Tamandua tetradactyla: one gene and its partner. Each later gene encodes a partner of the first gene's protein in a complex. Links are inferred from orthologs where the notes say so. Each region holds a gene or a part of one and is shown on either strand. Other genes may lie near its edges.

The links. Proteins that work in one complex are often made in the same cells at the same time.
Region 2: TAF1A (region 1) and POLR1H share a complex: the UniProt entries of both Homo sapiens proteins name them as parts of the pol I pre-initiation complex. The link is inferred for Tamandua tetradactyla from reciprocal best matches to the Homo sapiens genes TAF1A and POLR1H.

What each region holds. Positions count from the first base shown.
Region 1 is NC_135330.1:83,117,515-83,125,030, reverse strand, and holds the start of TAF1A (TATA box-binding protein-associated factor RNA polymerase I subunit A), read left to right. Parts: upstream 1-4,429; 5' UTR 4,430-4,554; exon of another isoform or gene 4,555-4,821; intron 4,822-5,242; 5' UTR 5,243-5,373; coding exon 5,374-5,494; intron 5,495-7,516. UniProt on the Homo sapiens protein: Component of the transcription factor SL1/TIF-IB complex, which is involved in the assembly of the PIC (pre-initiation complex) during RNA polymerase I-dependent transcription.
Region 2 is NC_135331.1:84,544,644-84,552,015, reverse strand, and holds the start of POLR1H (DNA-directed RNA polymerase I subunit RPA12), read right to left. Parts: upstream 3,024-7,372; 5' UTR 2,693-3,023; coding exon 2,557-2,692; intron 2,305-2,556; coding exon 2,204-2,304; intron 2,001-2,203; coding exon 1,891-2,000; intron 1,492-1,890; exon of another isoform or gene 1-1,491. UniProt on the Homo sapiens protein: Core component of RNA polymerase I (Pol I), a DNA-dependent RNA polymerase which synthesizes ribosomal RNA precursors using the four ribonucleoside triphosphates as substrates. Can mediate Pol I proofreading of the nascent RNA transcript.

The DNA of each region.
Region 1 (7,516 bases):
AAATCCACAGTTTGAATTTTTAACAGCCCTATCCCAGTAATAGAAACACCATTCAAAATGTAAGTAGCCATATTAAATATATGAAGAAAACTAGCAACCACTTTAACCTCACTGACACTAATAGAACACAATGCTCAGCAACTTCAGGGTACTCATTCTTTTCTAGTGCCGATGGAATATTTACCAGGCTATAATGACACTGGGGGCAACAAAATAAATTCTCAAAAACTTAAAAAATATTACTAAATAAGGTTAAGATGTCAATTCTACCCACGGTTACTTACAGATTCAATGCTTATTACAAATCACAGTAATAAAAAACAGCATAGTACTGACAAAAGGACAGAAAAATAGAACAATAGAGTCAAATTGAGAGTTCAGAAATCAACCCTTACACTTATATCCTTCTGATTTTTTTTCTCTTTTTCTTTTCTCTTCTTTCTTTTTTTGCATGGGCAGGCACTGGGAATCAAACTCAGGTCTCTGAGAACTCTGCCTGCTAAGCCACCTGGCCCGCCCCCAACTGATTTTTGACAAACGGGGAAGGACCATTCAATTTGGAAAGAACAGGCTCTTTAACAAATGGTGTTGGGAAAACTGGATTTCCATTTGCAAAAGAATGAAGGTGGACACCTACCTCACATCATATAAAAAAGTAAACTCAAAATGGATCAAAGACCTAAATATAAGAAACAGAGCTATTGACTCGTAGATGAAAACATAGGGAAGCGTCTTCAGGATCTTGTGTTGGGCAAGAGTTTTAGACTTCACACCCAAAGTTCAAGCAACAAAAGAAAAAATAGATAAATAGGACCTCCTCAAAATTAAAAACTTCTGTGCATCAATGGTCCTTACTATGAAAGGAAAATGACAACCCATACAATGAAAGAAAATATTTGGAAGCCACAAATCCAATACATAAAGAAGTCCTCCAACTCAACAACAAAAAGATAACTCAATTTAAAAATGGGCAAAAGATTTGAACACACATTTTTCCAAAGAAGATAGATAAATGCCCAAACAACACATGAAAAGATGCTCAACATCATTAGCATCACAACCATAATGTGTTACCATTTAATACCCACAAGAATGGCTATTATTAGAAAAATACAAAATTACAAAGTGTTGGAGAAGATCTGGAGAAATAGGAACACTTTATTCATTTCTGGTGGAAATGTAAAAATGGTGCAGCCACTCGGTGGAAAACAATTTGCCACTTTCTCAGATAGTTAAGTATAGAATTGCCCAGCATATATGTCCCAGCATATATCTAGGTATATATCCAAAAGAATTGAAAGTAAGGACTTGAACAGATATTTGCACACCGATATTCATAGCATCATTGTTCACAATCGCCAAAAGATGGAAGCAATCCAAGTGTCCATAAACCAGTGAATGGATAAACAAAATGTGGTATATACACAAAATGGAATATTATTCAGCCATAAATAGGAATGAAATTCTGAAACATGCATCAACAGACAAAAGAAGGTGGAAACAAAGTACAAATATTTTATGATTTCACTAATATGAAATAATTAGAATAACCAAACTCATATGGTCAGAATCTAGGTTACAAAGGGATGGGGAACGGGGTGGAATAGGGAGCTGTGTTAGGTTCTCTAGAGAAACAGAACCAACAGAAGAGATCTGTAAATATGAGATAAACATTTCTCATGCAACCGTGGGAATGGAAGAGTCCAAAATCCATACGGCAAACTGTGAGGCTGGTGGCTCCAATGAATGTTCTGGACAGCCTCCTCAGGAGAAGTGAAAGAGTCTCTCTTATTCACTAAAGACCTCCAACTGATTGGATTATCTCAGTGCAGGAGACTGCCTTAGTTGATCACACATGTAATCAGCCACAGATGCAATCAACTGACTGACCAACCTTCTAGTTTATCAACCAGCCACGAAATATCCTTGGCCAGTGCTTGTCTGACCAGACAACTGGGCACAATCACTTGGCCAAGTTGATACCAGAACCCAACCATCACAGGACTTAAGGCTTAAAATGTAGAATTTCTATTTGGAATGCTGAAATGTTTCGATAATAGATGGCGGTGATGGCAGCATAACATTGTGAACATAATTAACAGCAGTGAAATATATATCTGAAATTGGTTCAAAGGAGGAAATGTTAGGTTGTACATATGGTACCAGAATAACATTAAAAAACAAAACAAAACATGGAACCGCATAACACTAGCTGTGAGTCCATGGAATATAGTTAATTTTACACTGATAAAAAATGTGCTTTCATCAATTGTCACAAATGTACCACACAATGGAAGGTATTAATAATAGGGTGAAATGTGGAGACCTGTATTTTATGCATGATTACTCTGTAAACCCACACCTCTAAAGAGAAAAAAAACTGATAGGATGGACTTAGTTGGCTGTATCCAAGGCTAGATATCAAAAAGGAAATGACACTCCTGAGGGGGAAAAAACAGCAGTAAATTAGATTGAACAAGAGGCCTGTCCACAGGCCCACTTCATAATTATACTCCAAGGTGGCCAGCTCCTCTCAGGCCTCAGAGAACTTTCCTTCCTCCATGCCCTAGCCCACATATCAGCGCAGCAATACCTGTTTGTCATATACCAGGTCAATCTTGTGGTCAAGGAGGCCCCAGACCTCGGAGATGGCTGTGGTGTTGCTTAGCATGCAGACTGTTCACTGTGCCACTGCGGGGTTGTGGCAGTTGATTTCAATCTTGAAAGCCACTGGATACTAGTCCATACACAGGATGGTACTCTTGATCATAGCGATGGTGGCAGTCACATCCTTGAGCTCCACTTTTCCACTGTAGAGTATGCAGCAGACTATGCACTTTCTGGGGGAGGGTCACACTTGGCTATCTGGAGGGTTAAAGCAGATACTAGTCACCTCTGCCACTGTGAACTGCTCATGTTTCAGCTGAGACAATGGGCAAGTAGGTCATCAGGGGAAAGTGGATGGAGGGGTAGTGCACCAGGGTGGTCTGGCACCCTGTGCAGTCCATGTTCAGGAACCTGTCAACGCACAGGGAGGTGGTGATGGAGGGAAAATCTGACCAGTGAGTCAGACTGTGATTTAGCATGGTCAATATTTTTAATCTCTTTGTCCCAATGCATGTTCTACCAGAGTTGTACCATGGGAAAGGAAGGGTAGGTAGGGCATATAAACTTACTAGTTCTTAACTTTCTCTCTTTTATCTACTGCTGTGTAGAGAAACTAGAAATTTCTTCCCCACTTAGATGAGAACATCAATTTCTAGCCACATAAAAGCAACTCTGGGTTGGTTTTGGTGAAATTATATCTCATGGCAATGGACTAAATATATCCAGATTAAGGTCTAGGCTGGGGGGCTAATAACTATAGTTTTGTGTGTGTGTGTCGTGCCCTCCTCTACCACACCATCATATAGATCAGTGTTGCCTGTGGCACTCGAGCACATACTTGAGAAAGGCCAAGCACTTATATGGCATAGCAGGAGGAACTTTTCTTGCCAGTATTTATGAATGCAACATAGAAATAAGTATTCCTAACATTATAAGGAATCACTTACATGCTCTTACTAGACCTTTAGTTGCCTCCGCAGTACACTGATTGTGCTCAAATGGTTCATTCTGGGGAGGAGCTCAAAAGATTCCTGGAGTCACCGACACCCTTATCGGTGCAACTTTAGCTATTAACAAAAATCTTTCTTGGAACGACTTTAAAAATGCCTCCTTCTAGCATTTATTCAATCAATTCTATCCTCTCATGCTATACAAAAGTAATCTAAACCTCCCTGGACGGATCAGCTCTCCAAATATCCGAAAGACACATTATGTTCACGTGTATCTCTGCTTTTCCAAGGTCACCCTCCTCGAAACCCTTAACTGTCTCTCATTTCACATCGTTTAACCATTTTATTTTTGACCCCTATTTCATACAGGTTTTTCAATGTCACTTACGGAAAATGGCCCAACACAAGTACTCGGAATCGTCCCCGCTGAGGACCAAATAGAGATTCTAGTCCGAGTTTTGGGGAGGCAGTCAGGGTCGCTTAAACTCACCCGAAGGTCAGAGCTAAAACTTTAATAAAAGGAAAAAGCCAATTAGACGGCTAGCAAGAGGTCCTATCGGGGTCGCTCGCCACGCCTCCGTTCGCGCAGCCCGTCAGTGAGCAAGCAGAAACCGGAAGGTCCCGCACGGTAAGTCACTCGGGTAATGTGACAGCCTGCTTTTTCGACTGTTCTTCATTTCCAGCCATTCTCCGTCGCCCCAATATCCACTTGTAATTAGAATCTCTCCTTTTCCGGCTGGGACAGATTAAAACGTGAACCTGAGACCATACCCACGAGAAAGCGGCAAGTCTCCACACCGGCCACGAGGGGCGGCCGTGACGTCACCACGGCGGCGCTGGGGGCGGGGCTGCTCCTGCGCACGGCCCGTGCTCCCGAGCGATTCTCCGCGTGCTCACGCGAAGCGTCGCGGACGTCACTTCCCGCGAGGTTTTGTTCGTGGTGTCCCGCGAAGTTGGAACGCCCAGCTCAGCCGGGCCCAGGGGCTTCACGCTTCAGGCGAGTACGTGTCGTGGACGTTGTCTGCGGCACCGCCTGCTTTCCCGGTTGAGCGGGAATGGCTGTGCGAGGACGCAGGTGTGGCCCGGTATTTTCTCCTGGTGCGGTGAGACCGTGAGTGAGTCGAAGAGAGAGAGCGGAAGCCTTGTTGCCGTGGTAGCCGCGCGCTTCACCGCGGGGTTCGGCGTGTTTGTGAGCACGGCCTCGGTCGGGACTCCTGGACGGCCCCGGGTGGGTCAGCCTTGGTCACCTTTCTTGTGACCTCAGGTAGATGACAAGATAACACTAAACCAGGCTAGTTCTCGCCTGCCATGCCGGAGACCCGGGTTCCATTCCCGGTGCCTACCCATGCCAAAAAAATAAAAATAAAAAATAATAATAATAATCACACTAAGCCCCTCAAGTCTTTTCACCGTCAAAATGCGGTATTTACCTCAGGATTACTGTGAAGATTAAATTAGGTAGTTTGTGTGGCTGACATATAGTAAGATCCCAGTACATCTCAACTGCTACTGCTACTCTTGTTTTGTCCTACTATTATTTCTCATTTTTCTCTTTCTTGTGGACTTGAGTTTGTTTTTGAGTAAAAGGACAATATCTTGGTTATCTCTGTATGTGATTGCTTATAGTTGATGTTGTATTTTTTTTTATGTTGCTGACATAATTATATCTTATTTTTACTTTAAAGGAATTCCCAAGTACAGAAAAATTTTGCTGATCAAGTATTTCTTAGATCAGAAGACGACTTTTCTCTGTAACTCAGAAGCCTACGGATTAAGATGTACAGAAAGTAACTGATATTCTCAGTTTCGAGTAGGTATGAGTGATTTCATTGAGGAATCAGCAAGGCCCGTGCCCGAGGAGGATGGGGTGGACATGTCTGTGCTCTCTGGTACAGGAATTTATTTCCCTTGGCTCCGAAAGCAAATAGAAACTGTGGGTAAGTAAAAGAACATATGACCGTTTAACTATAATGCAAGGCAGTGGTTAGATTCAGTATGGATGCGAAATGAATAACTAGGTTGGGGAGAGCTTCAGTTTTCAAGGTAGGAAATAGGTGATATACTTTTTAGGCTGTAAGGAAGAAAACAAATCACAAATAGGTCTTTTTTTTTTTCTTTTAAAATTCTTTTCCTTTGAATTAATAACAAGTAGTCTGTATTTCTTTTTCCCCAGCAAGACTTATTTCACACACTTATTTGGCATTGGCTAAATACTGGTGATATGCAGATTAGTAACGTTGGGACTCTGCCCACTGAGGAATGCATACCTAAGAAGTGTTCAGGAAGTTCTTGTTGAATTGCACTGGAATGATTTCAAATAGAATTAGTTTTAAAAAAGTGTTTTCCCCCATTTTCATTTAATATAAATATGAGCAAGTTTTTCGATGAGATAAATTCCCTACTGGATTGAATAAGAACCAGTTATCTACATGTTGGCATGTTGGGTGATGTAGTCCTGGGAATACATTTGAAGCATTATTTTTATTATTGCCCTCAATCCGTGTTTCGTAGCCCATAATTGAAATCCCTTAGCTCCTGTTTTTTTTCCTTCTAACCTGAGTATCATTTCATTAATTATCTCAGTAAATTAATCCTCATAGCAGTATATATGTCAGGCATTTTAGAGATGAAGAAACTGAATCTTAGAGAAGTTAAACTATAAGCAGTGGTGTCAGGAGTCAAACCCAGGTCTGTTTGATCTCAAAGCCTGTGCTTTTAACCACTGAGCTATATAAAAAGTGAGATAATATATTTGAATTGCTTAGCATAGAGCCTCATGCACAGCGAGTGTTGAAAAATTACCAATTCCATTCCTCTCCTCATTTTATTTTAACTAGGTTAATGCATATGACTTAAGCGAAGTTTGACTGTATTGTACTTCAGGAATGATACCTCACCCCTTAGAACTAGGAACCTGAAGTGTGGGGTTAGGTAATGCTACTCAGTTTCTGCTAGTTAAGATATACCTGGGTATGTTTCTGTCACCAGGGATCTATAGAGAGTTTGATTAAGTCTGCAGGTAAATAGGTTTAAGACCAGAATTTATGTGCTTAGAAATGTGTTATTATGTATTATGGATAGCCTTTTAAACCCAAGATATTGTATATCTGCAATGAGAAAATAGTAATAAATAATATTGGCACTGTAAGTAACGTACAGTATTGACGTTGTAAGTAACTATAGTTTGAAAACGAAATTGCCTAAGAATTATTTTTTTATACTAGTAGAAAGTTTTTGGCATTCTGAAGGATCTGCCCTCCTCCCCCCTAGAATGAAAGCTCCTTTAAGGGAGGGGTCAGTCTGGAATAAAGATTTATGCCAAGCACCTAGAATTTGTTGACTGACTGACAACTTTCTGGATTCTTTTAGGGGCTGATTTTTGAATGACTGGTTCTTATTTATAGCTCATTCCATGCCAAAACTTCTTTTCCTTAAGAAATATTATTATTACTATTTTTATAGTTCTTTTTTTAAAACATTTTTATTGTAAATAACAAACATTCTTGACACTGTTAGAATTAGTGGCTCACAATATCATCACATAGTTGTGTATTCATCACCATGATCCTTAGTTTTAAACATTTGCATATCTCCAGCAAAAGAAAGAAAAAAGAAAAAATTCATACATGCCATACCCCTAACCCTTCCCTCTCATTGATGACTAGTATTTCAAGCTACTCAATTTTTAAAATCTTTGCTCCCCCTATTATTTGTTTATTTCTTATCCATATTTTTTACTCATTTGTCCATACTGTAGATAAAAGGAGCATCAAACACAAGGTTTTCACAGTCATGCAGTCACATTGCGAAAGCTTTAAGAAACATGGCTACTGGAACACAGCGTGATAATTTCAGGCATTTCCCCCTAGCCACTCCAATACACCATAAACTAAAAAGGGGATATCAATGTTATGTGTAAGAATAACCTCCAGGATAAACTCTCGACTCTGTTTGAAATC
Region 2 (7,372 bases), on another chromosome or scaffold:
TAATGGAGGTGGTCTAAGGGTACAACGACTGAGGAATGGAAGGGGGAACTGTGGTATATACATACAACAGACTACTAAGTAGCTGCAAGAAGTAATGAAGATGTAAGGCATGCAACTAGGTGAATGAACCTTAAAGACTATGTTGAATGAAATTTTAGGAACAAAAAGACAAATATTATCATGCCTCAACCTTATGGACTAACCATAATATAAAAATTCAGTGAACTAAAGTTGAGAACATGGGTGATTAGGTTGGGGCCTATTGTAAAGGGTCTTAGATTGTAAGCTCTTACAGCAGTCACATATATTCAGGGGATCTAACTGTTAATTCTAAATTCTGAGATACTGAGCTGTTTGTATATAACATGGTCATTCCCAGAAACTTCAGGTATTTATGTGACATCTAAGACTCAGAACTCTGAAGCTATGAAAGTCATCAGTACCCCACACAGGAACTGTTTAAAAAGTTAAAAAAGTGATCAGACATCAAGTAGCGACATGAATGAAGCTGATCCAGATATAACTAAGGTATATCAGAATACAGTTAAAGGATGATATCTATATTTTAAGACTTCAACTTCTGTGTGAGACTAAAGGGAGAGATGTTTATTGGGTGCAAAATTTATATTTTAGGTAGTGCATTTCCTAATTTAATTAGTACGGTTAGTTTAGTTGAACATTATAAGTATATGGAATCTTCAATAGGGGGTGAGATTTTGTTGGTTTGTTCAAGTTAGTGTGATGATCTGATAAATCCCAGAGTAATCTGGGCAATGAATAAAGAAGTATTTGCAAAGTCCCCTGGGGGAATGGGAGAAAGGAGGAAATATTCAACTTCCCCCTTTTGGAGAATTTCTGATATTCTCACTAAGCAGTGTGGACAACCAAATCAATAAGCCAAGCCCTCGATCTTGGGGTTCATGAAACTTATTCTGCAAATGATAGGCTAAGGCTACATATAATTATGCCTAAGAGTCATCCCCAGACAACCTTTTTTGCTCAGATATGGCCTCTCTCTAAGCCAACTCAGCATGTGAACTCACTGCCCTACCCAATACGGGGGATATGACTCCCAGGGGTGTAAATCTCCCTGGCAACACAGGACAGAAATCCTGGGATGAGCTGGGACCCGGCATAAGGAATTGAGAAAGACTTCTTAACCAAAACGGGGAAGAGAGAAATGAGACAAAATAAAGTTTCAGTGGCTGAGGGATTTCAAACAGAGTCAAGAGGTTATCCTGGAGGTTATTATGTATTATATAGATATCCCTTTTTAGTTTATGGTGTGTTGGAGTGAGTGGAGAGAAGTACCTGAAACATTTGAGCTGAGTTCCAATAGCCTTGATTCTTGAAGATAATCGATTGTATAAAAGATATAACTTTTACAGTGTGACTGCGTGATTGTGAAGACCTTGTGTCTGATGTTCCTTTTATCCCAGCTATGGGCAGAGGAATAAAAAAATATGGATAAAAAGTTAATAAATAAATAGAGGGGACAAAGGGTAAAATAAATTGGGTAGATGGAAATACTAGTGGTCAATAAGAGGGAGGGGTAAGGTGTATGGTATGCACGAGGTTTCTCTTTCTTCCTTTTATTTCTTTTTCTGGAGTGATGCAAATGTTCTAAACAATGATCATGGTAGTGAATATACAATTATGTGATGATATTGTGAGCCATTGATTGTACACCATGTATGGAAGGTATGTTTGAAGATTTCTCAATGAAAATATTAAAAAGAAGACCATGCATTTTCTTACTATCTGAACTGTACAGATATGAGGGATATGACCAAAGAAGATAATTATTCATTTAGTAAAAGGTAAGCCATTGGATTTGTTTAGCTGGCAAGTAGATGGAGAAAGGGCAGAGGGAGGGGAAATGACACTCACTTGCAGTTGGTACAGGTGTAGAAGACAGTCTGCCCTTCATCGGCTGAGCGCATCTGTCTGGTCTGGTATGCCATTCCTTCATGACCACATCTAGCGCAGCGTCTGTCAACCTGGGAAACAATTGGTGGGACAGGGAAGGCCTAGTCAGTATCTCCTTAATTCGCATAGGAATCAGGCTGTCACATCCCACAGACATTTCCCCTCTACTTTCCTGGATTTGGGTACAAAACTCTCCATATCTCTCCAATTGCCCCCTCCCCCATTTCTTTCTTCATTTCCCTTACTGAGCCAGTCCTTGATCTCATTAACTTACCACGGGCCCCTGAAACGCTGGTCCTTCTTCTACGGACTTGCGCACGGCTGTTCCCAGTTTGTGAAACACAAATGAGGTCTTCACAACCTTCCCTTCGAAGTCTGCGCAGGCAGTAAGAATCGTTTGTGGAGACAAATGGTGGGAGTAGATACCCGCAACCCCGCTCCCGGTTAAGCCAGGAGGCTCTGCATTCCTTGTGTCACCTTCGGGTCTCCGCCCTGGACCAAAGGTATAAGTGCCTGGTCTCCTGCTCTAGAATCCCCCTCCTTAATCCCAGCGATCTTGAGGTCCCCAAACCTCCGACACTTCCATTCCGGACTCTCCGCCCGGACCACTGCCTAAGAGTCGCTCACCCCGCACGTTGATGGAGAAGCCACAGCGCGCACAGATGACCGTATCTTGAGTCCCGGGCAGGGGCAGAACAGAGCCGCAGTCTGGGCAGAAATCGAGGTCCGACTGGAAGCTGGAGCAGGTCTTGGCGAGGTCCATAACGGAAAGGTGGTCGCGGGTTGGGGAGCGGACGAGCAACGTATTAACAAAATAAAGGTTTTTTAAAACCAACCTCACCACTCTGGGGTCCTTCCTGTCCTGAACCAGGACCTAGGCATAAACATTCCAAAGCACGCCTCCCATTTCTGCGACGAGTGGGCCTAAGCGTCCAGCACTGCCAGCCCTCTTCTGGAGCCCAGCGGCTTGGTACCCTTCCTGGGAGACGAGCTGACCAACCCCGCGGGCTAGAGCGTCGGCCTCCCAGAGAGCCGCCGAGCAGTCGGTGCATGGCGGCCTAGAGCGTCAAAGCGTCCCGGCTCACGATTGGCTGAGATGTCATAAGTAATCGCTAACCTAAGTCCAAAAGCCTTTCTGAGAGAACGCAAGCCGCGCGAGCGGAACTTGTGGTTTCTTCGGCTTTGTATTGTGACGTCGGAAAAGAAAAATGCTAACGTGTACTGCGCTTCTGGCTGCTTTTATCCCCGGGACAGAACTCTGATATACTTATTTTCTTGGTCTCGCATCATTTGCCGGAGGTCATTCCCTCCAAAACGTACTAATCTTCCTGAATACTTGTTTTACTGACAAGGGAACTACAATTCCCGCCATTCCTGAGCCGGCATCTCCTTTCGGCGGCTGCTCAGTGGTTACAAACAAAGAAAGCTAAGCATTCCGAGAGTTACGGTTCTGGTATTGCTTGGATCCTGCTGGCGGAGCGTGGGCTGCTCTGCAGTGCTCAGCCTGGCACGCGTGCTCTTCTTGGGAGGCAGTTTAGGGGCGCTTGGAAGATGTGAGTTGGCATCTTAAGGGGCAGAAAGTGGTAAGGATGAAGACGGAGGAGGAATACTTAGTCCCTTGAGACGAAAGGAATTGAGTAGGACGTTGGAGGGATTTAGGATTTTGGAGGTAGCGGAAGTGTTTGGAATAGGGGTGTTTCGGGGCTCCCCTATTCTTAGGCACCTGCCAGGCGAGGGAGACTAGCATTAATCAAGGGAGTAGGTAGTGGAAGGCTTTCACGAAGACTTGGGTGAAGTTTGGCTTATTGTTGCAGAAATCCACTCCCGCCCCATTCTCTTTCGCCTCCTGCCCAACTCTAAATCATTGTCATCCATTAGGTGGGCAGTCGACATTTCCCTAATCTTTTCTAAAATTTAAGGGTAGTATCTTTAGAAAATCTTGGTATTTTTGTTCATTTGTAACATATAATCTGTGTACAAATTTGAACTAAAAGGGAAACTCCTAGATGAGTTCCCTGGCTTCTTTCCAGTCCTCCCAGCTCCACCCAACCGGATTGTTCTGATAATCTCCATATGTATATATATATATTTTTTTTCCTGGAGCTATCACTGTTTTTTTCTCTGAAAGAAACAAAATGCCGTCTCTGGGAGATTCTTTTTTTTCCAATAGTGGGGACATACCTGATATTGAATGGAGTTAAAACTTAACGAGCTGCAGGAGAGTGGTAAGCCCTGTAATTTCACTTACTTGAGTGTCATTTCTTTGTATTACAAAGACAGGTCTGTTGCTAAGCCCAGGATGGTAGGCAGTTTCTATGCTTACATCTCACTGTGCTGTCTCCTTTGAAAATGGAAATTGAAATTAGCCCTCCTCGCACCCCAACTTTTCCTTTTCGCTTTGACATACAGTGAAACATCCAACATGTATTGAATATCCTAATGCAGTAAAGGAACTGCAAGCATTATAAGGCATGCCCCTTCCCCAATAAGTTCACATTCTAATCAGTAAATGTTTATTGAGCATTTATGCCAGGCTTTGAGCTGAGTCTGGGGCTACAAAGTTGAAAATTGTTCTCCAACCTCAAGGAATGCAAATGAGTAATGAACACTAGTATGTACAAAATGTAAGTGTCCAGGATGAGCATATCAAATAAATATGCCCATGTGCTTCAAGAAAGACTGGTAAATGCTTTAACGAAAAGATATATACAAAGCCATGGGGATGAAAAAGATGCTGAGACATCATGTGATAAGTATAATAAATAATAAATCTTCACTTTTAAATACTAAGGGGACTTGGAATCACAGACTCATCTTAAATACTGTGTTAGATGTTAATGTGTTATGCATAGGCAAATATGAATGCATCTAAGAGGTCAGTGATTCAGAATAGTTTTCAGATTCTCTCTGATAATATAGAGAGATCATATCTTTGTAAATCTGAATTTTGTTTCTGCTCTTTGAATACACCCAAATTATAGTTGTAAAAATAATGCAGCAAAATGTGAAAAGTGATGTGTGTGTGTGTGTGTCACAATGTAAAGCGTGATTAATTTTCATATGATTTGTAGAAAAAAAGTCTTCAGGGGAAGGCAGAAGCTACTATGAGACAGAGTAGAGCAAAAAGAATTTTTGGAGAGTCATGGACTTAATCTGTGGAGGACAGATAATTGCCATTTACTGAGAACTTACCATATATCAAGCACTATGCCAAGCTCTTTACATCTAACTTGTATTTGTTCTTTATAATCTTTATAACCCCAAGAGGCAGAATTGTGTCTTGTCTCTGTTTTACAGATGAGGAAACTGGCATAGAGGATAAGTTACTTGCCCTTGGTATACACACCTGGGAAGTGGTGGATTTAAGATTCAAGTCTAACCCTATCAGGCTCCAAAACCCATGCTCTTAATCATAAAGGGTGTAAACAAAAGCACAGAGATGAATTGCTAGGCATCCTCAGTAGCTTAAATACGACCTCACAGTAACTCAGACCAGACCAGGGATGACACATAGAAAGTTAATAGTCTTCATGTGTGTTGCTCTCAGCCTGTCCTATAAGTAAACACAGAGTACCTGCCAGTTCCTACCCTGAAGGGTTCAATTGTAAATGGTCCCATAATGGATTAGTGTGAAGAATGATTGGCAGTGTATGTAAGGCAGCCAAGCAGAAGTGTGGACAATAAAATAACAATTTCAGAGCAAAAGTTGAGCGCACAGAGATGCTGTATGTGCTGATAGAGGCAGAGAGGGCCCGGATCAAGAAACTACAGAAAGAGAATGAACTAATAAAACTAGAGTCTAGAATTATCTCAGAAGATGAAGGAGGCTGGGGGACTGACCAGTCTGACATAGATGTGCATCAGCAATACCTCACCAAGAAGTCTGTCACTTCCCTCGCCCATTCCCCAGTACAAGACTCAGAATGGTTCAAGTTGAGTCCACAAGAGAAGTATGCTTTTAGCTCATATAAAGGGAAAATCCTCTTCTTAAAAGACCATTTATTACTCTCTACCATAGAAATACGATGGTTTCCTTGAGGAAAATGGCCCTGCTATAACCTATTCATGGGTTTTCTCTTTGCGGGGGGGAAATACCATTGGACTTCACCAAAACCATTGGGTTCCTTGATTCAGTTAGATTAGACACTATGTGAGCAGATGTGTTCTAACACCTCCCACATTCTAATCTATTTTTGCTTTTTTATTTTACAGATTGGCCTGGGCTAAAGCATCAAAAGACTCTAGGATTGCTGCAGGCCAACACTCCCCACTGGAGAAAAAGATCTTGGTAAGTAAATTATCTTTGCATCATACAATTTGGAGCTACTAGGAGAAGGAATGTTAGGTTTAAAATCCTTTCCCCCAAATGATACCTTCAGATAGTAAGTCTACACTGAAAAATGTTTCTCAGCTTTGTCCACAGCTGCAAAAAAAGGTATCATTTTGAAAACCCCTAACACTGTACATATTTTTAAACTAGTTATTGATTTATGGTGATGGATAGGTACTTCGTACTTTCAGAGCTTACAGGCTTACCTAGGTGCCATGGGAGTAAAATCACAATTATTACATTGAAGTAAATTAAAAACTATGTATCTTTGCTTGTTTCAGTACTGAGAGTAGGCTCGTCTTTACATATATTCTAAATAAAAAGATGGTGGTCATATTTTAAAATTCTATACCTCATTTTGACAGAATCTAGGTGGCGTGCATACAACAGCAACAAGAAGACTAATAACCCAAAAATATCAAGAAGAGTATAAAACACTCTGTGAGGAGCAGTCTCTTTCTCTTGATTACTGGCTTGCCAAAGCAGAGTCTTATTATAATAAAAGAACAGTGGAAATGATGAAAAAACAAAAGTCAGTCAGTGAAATTGAGAAGAAGATAGAGGAGAAAATAACCCAAGACATAGAGAGACAAAAATGGTACTATTTAGTACCTGAGAGAGAGCTGAAACACATAGAGAGGTACATACATCGAGCCGGACAGGCCAGAGAACTCAGGAATAAAACATTTAAACAACTACGAGTCATTAGTGAAACAACACTACCAAAAATCATGTCAGAAAAACATGGCAACCAGAAAGCACAGAGAAGAAAGCAGGTAGTAGAGAGGGAACAGGTGCAAATTAAAGATCACCAGGAACGCATGATTCGAGGGCGAGAACTTATAGAGCAAAGACTCAAGGAAAGGCTCTTGGGGGATAAACAGAGCCTGCCATCTGCACATGAGAAGCGTGAGAAAGTAAAGAAAGAGGTAAAGGAATTTGAGAGTGTTATTGCATATCCTCTTTTCCAGCCGTACCATGGAAGCCATATTAAAGTGAATATTCTTATGGAAAAGTCTCAGAATGGAGAAGAGAATACAGTTATAAAGCCACCACAAAGAAAATTCTTGACTATGCCTCCCTTTTTGAGGAGTCAAATAGGAAAAATTAAGG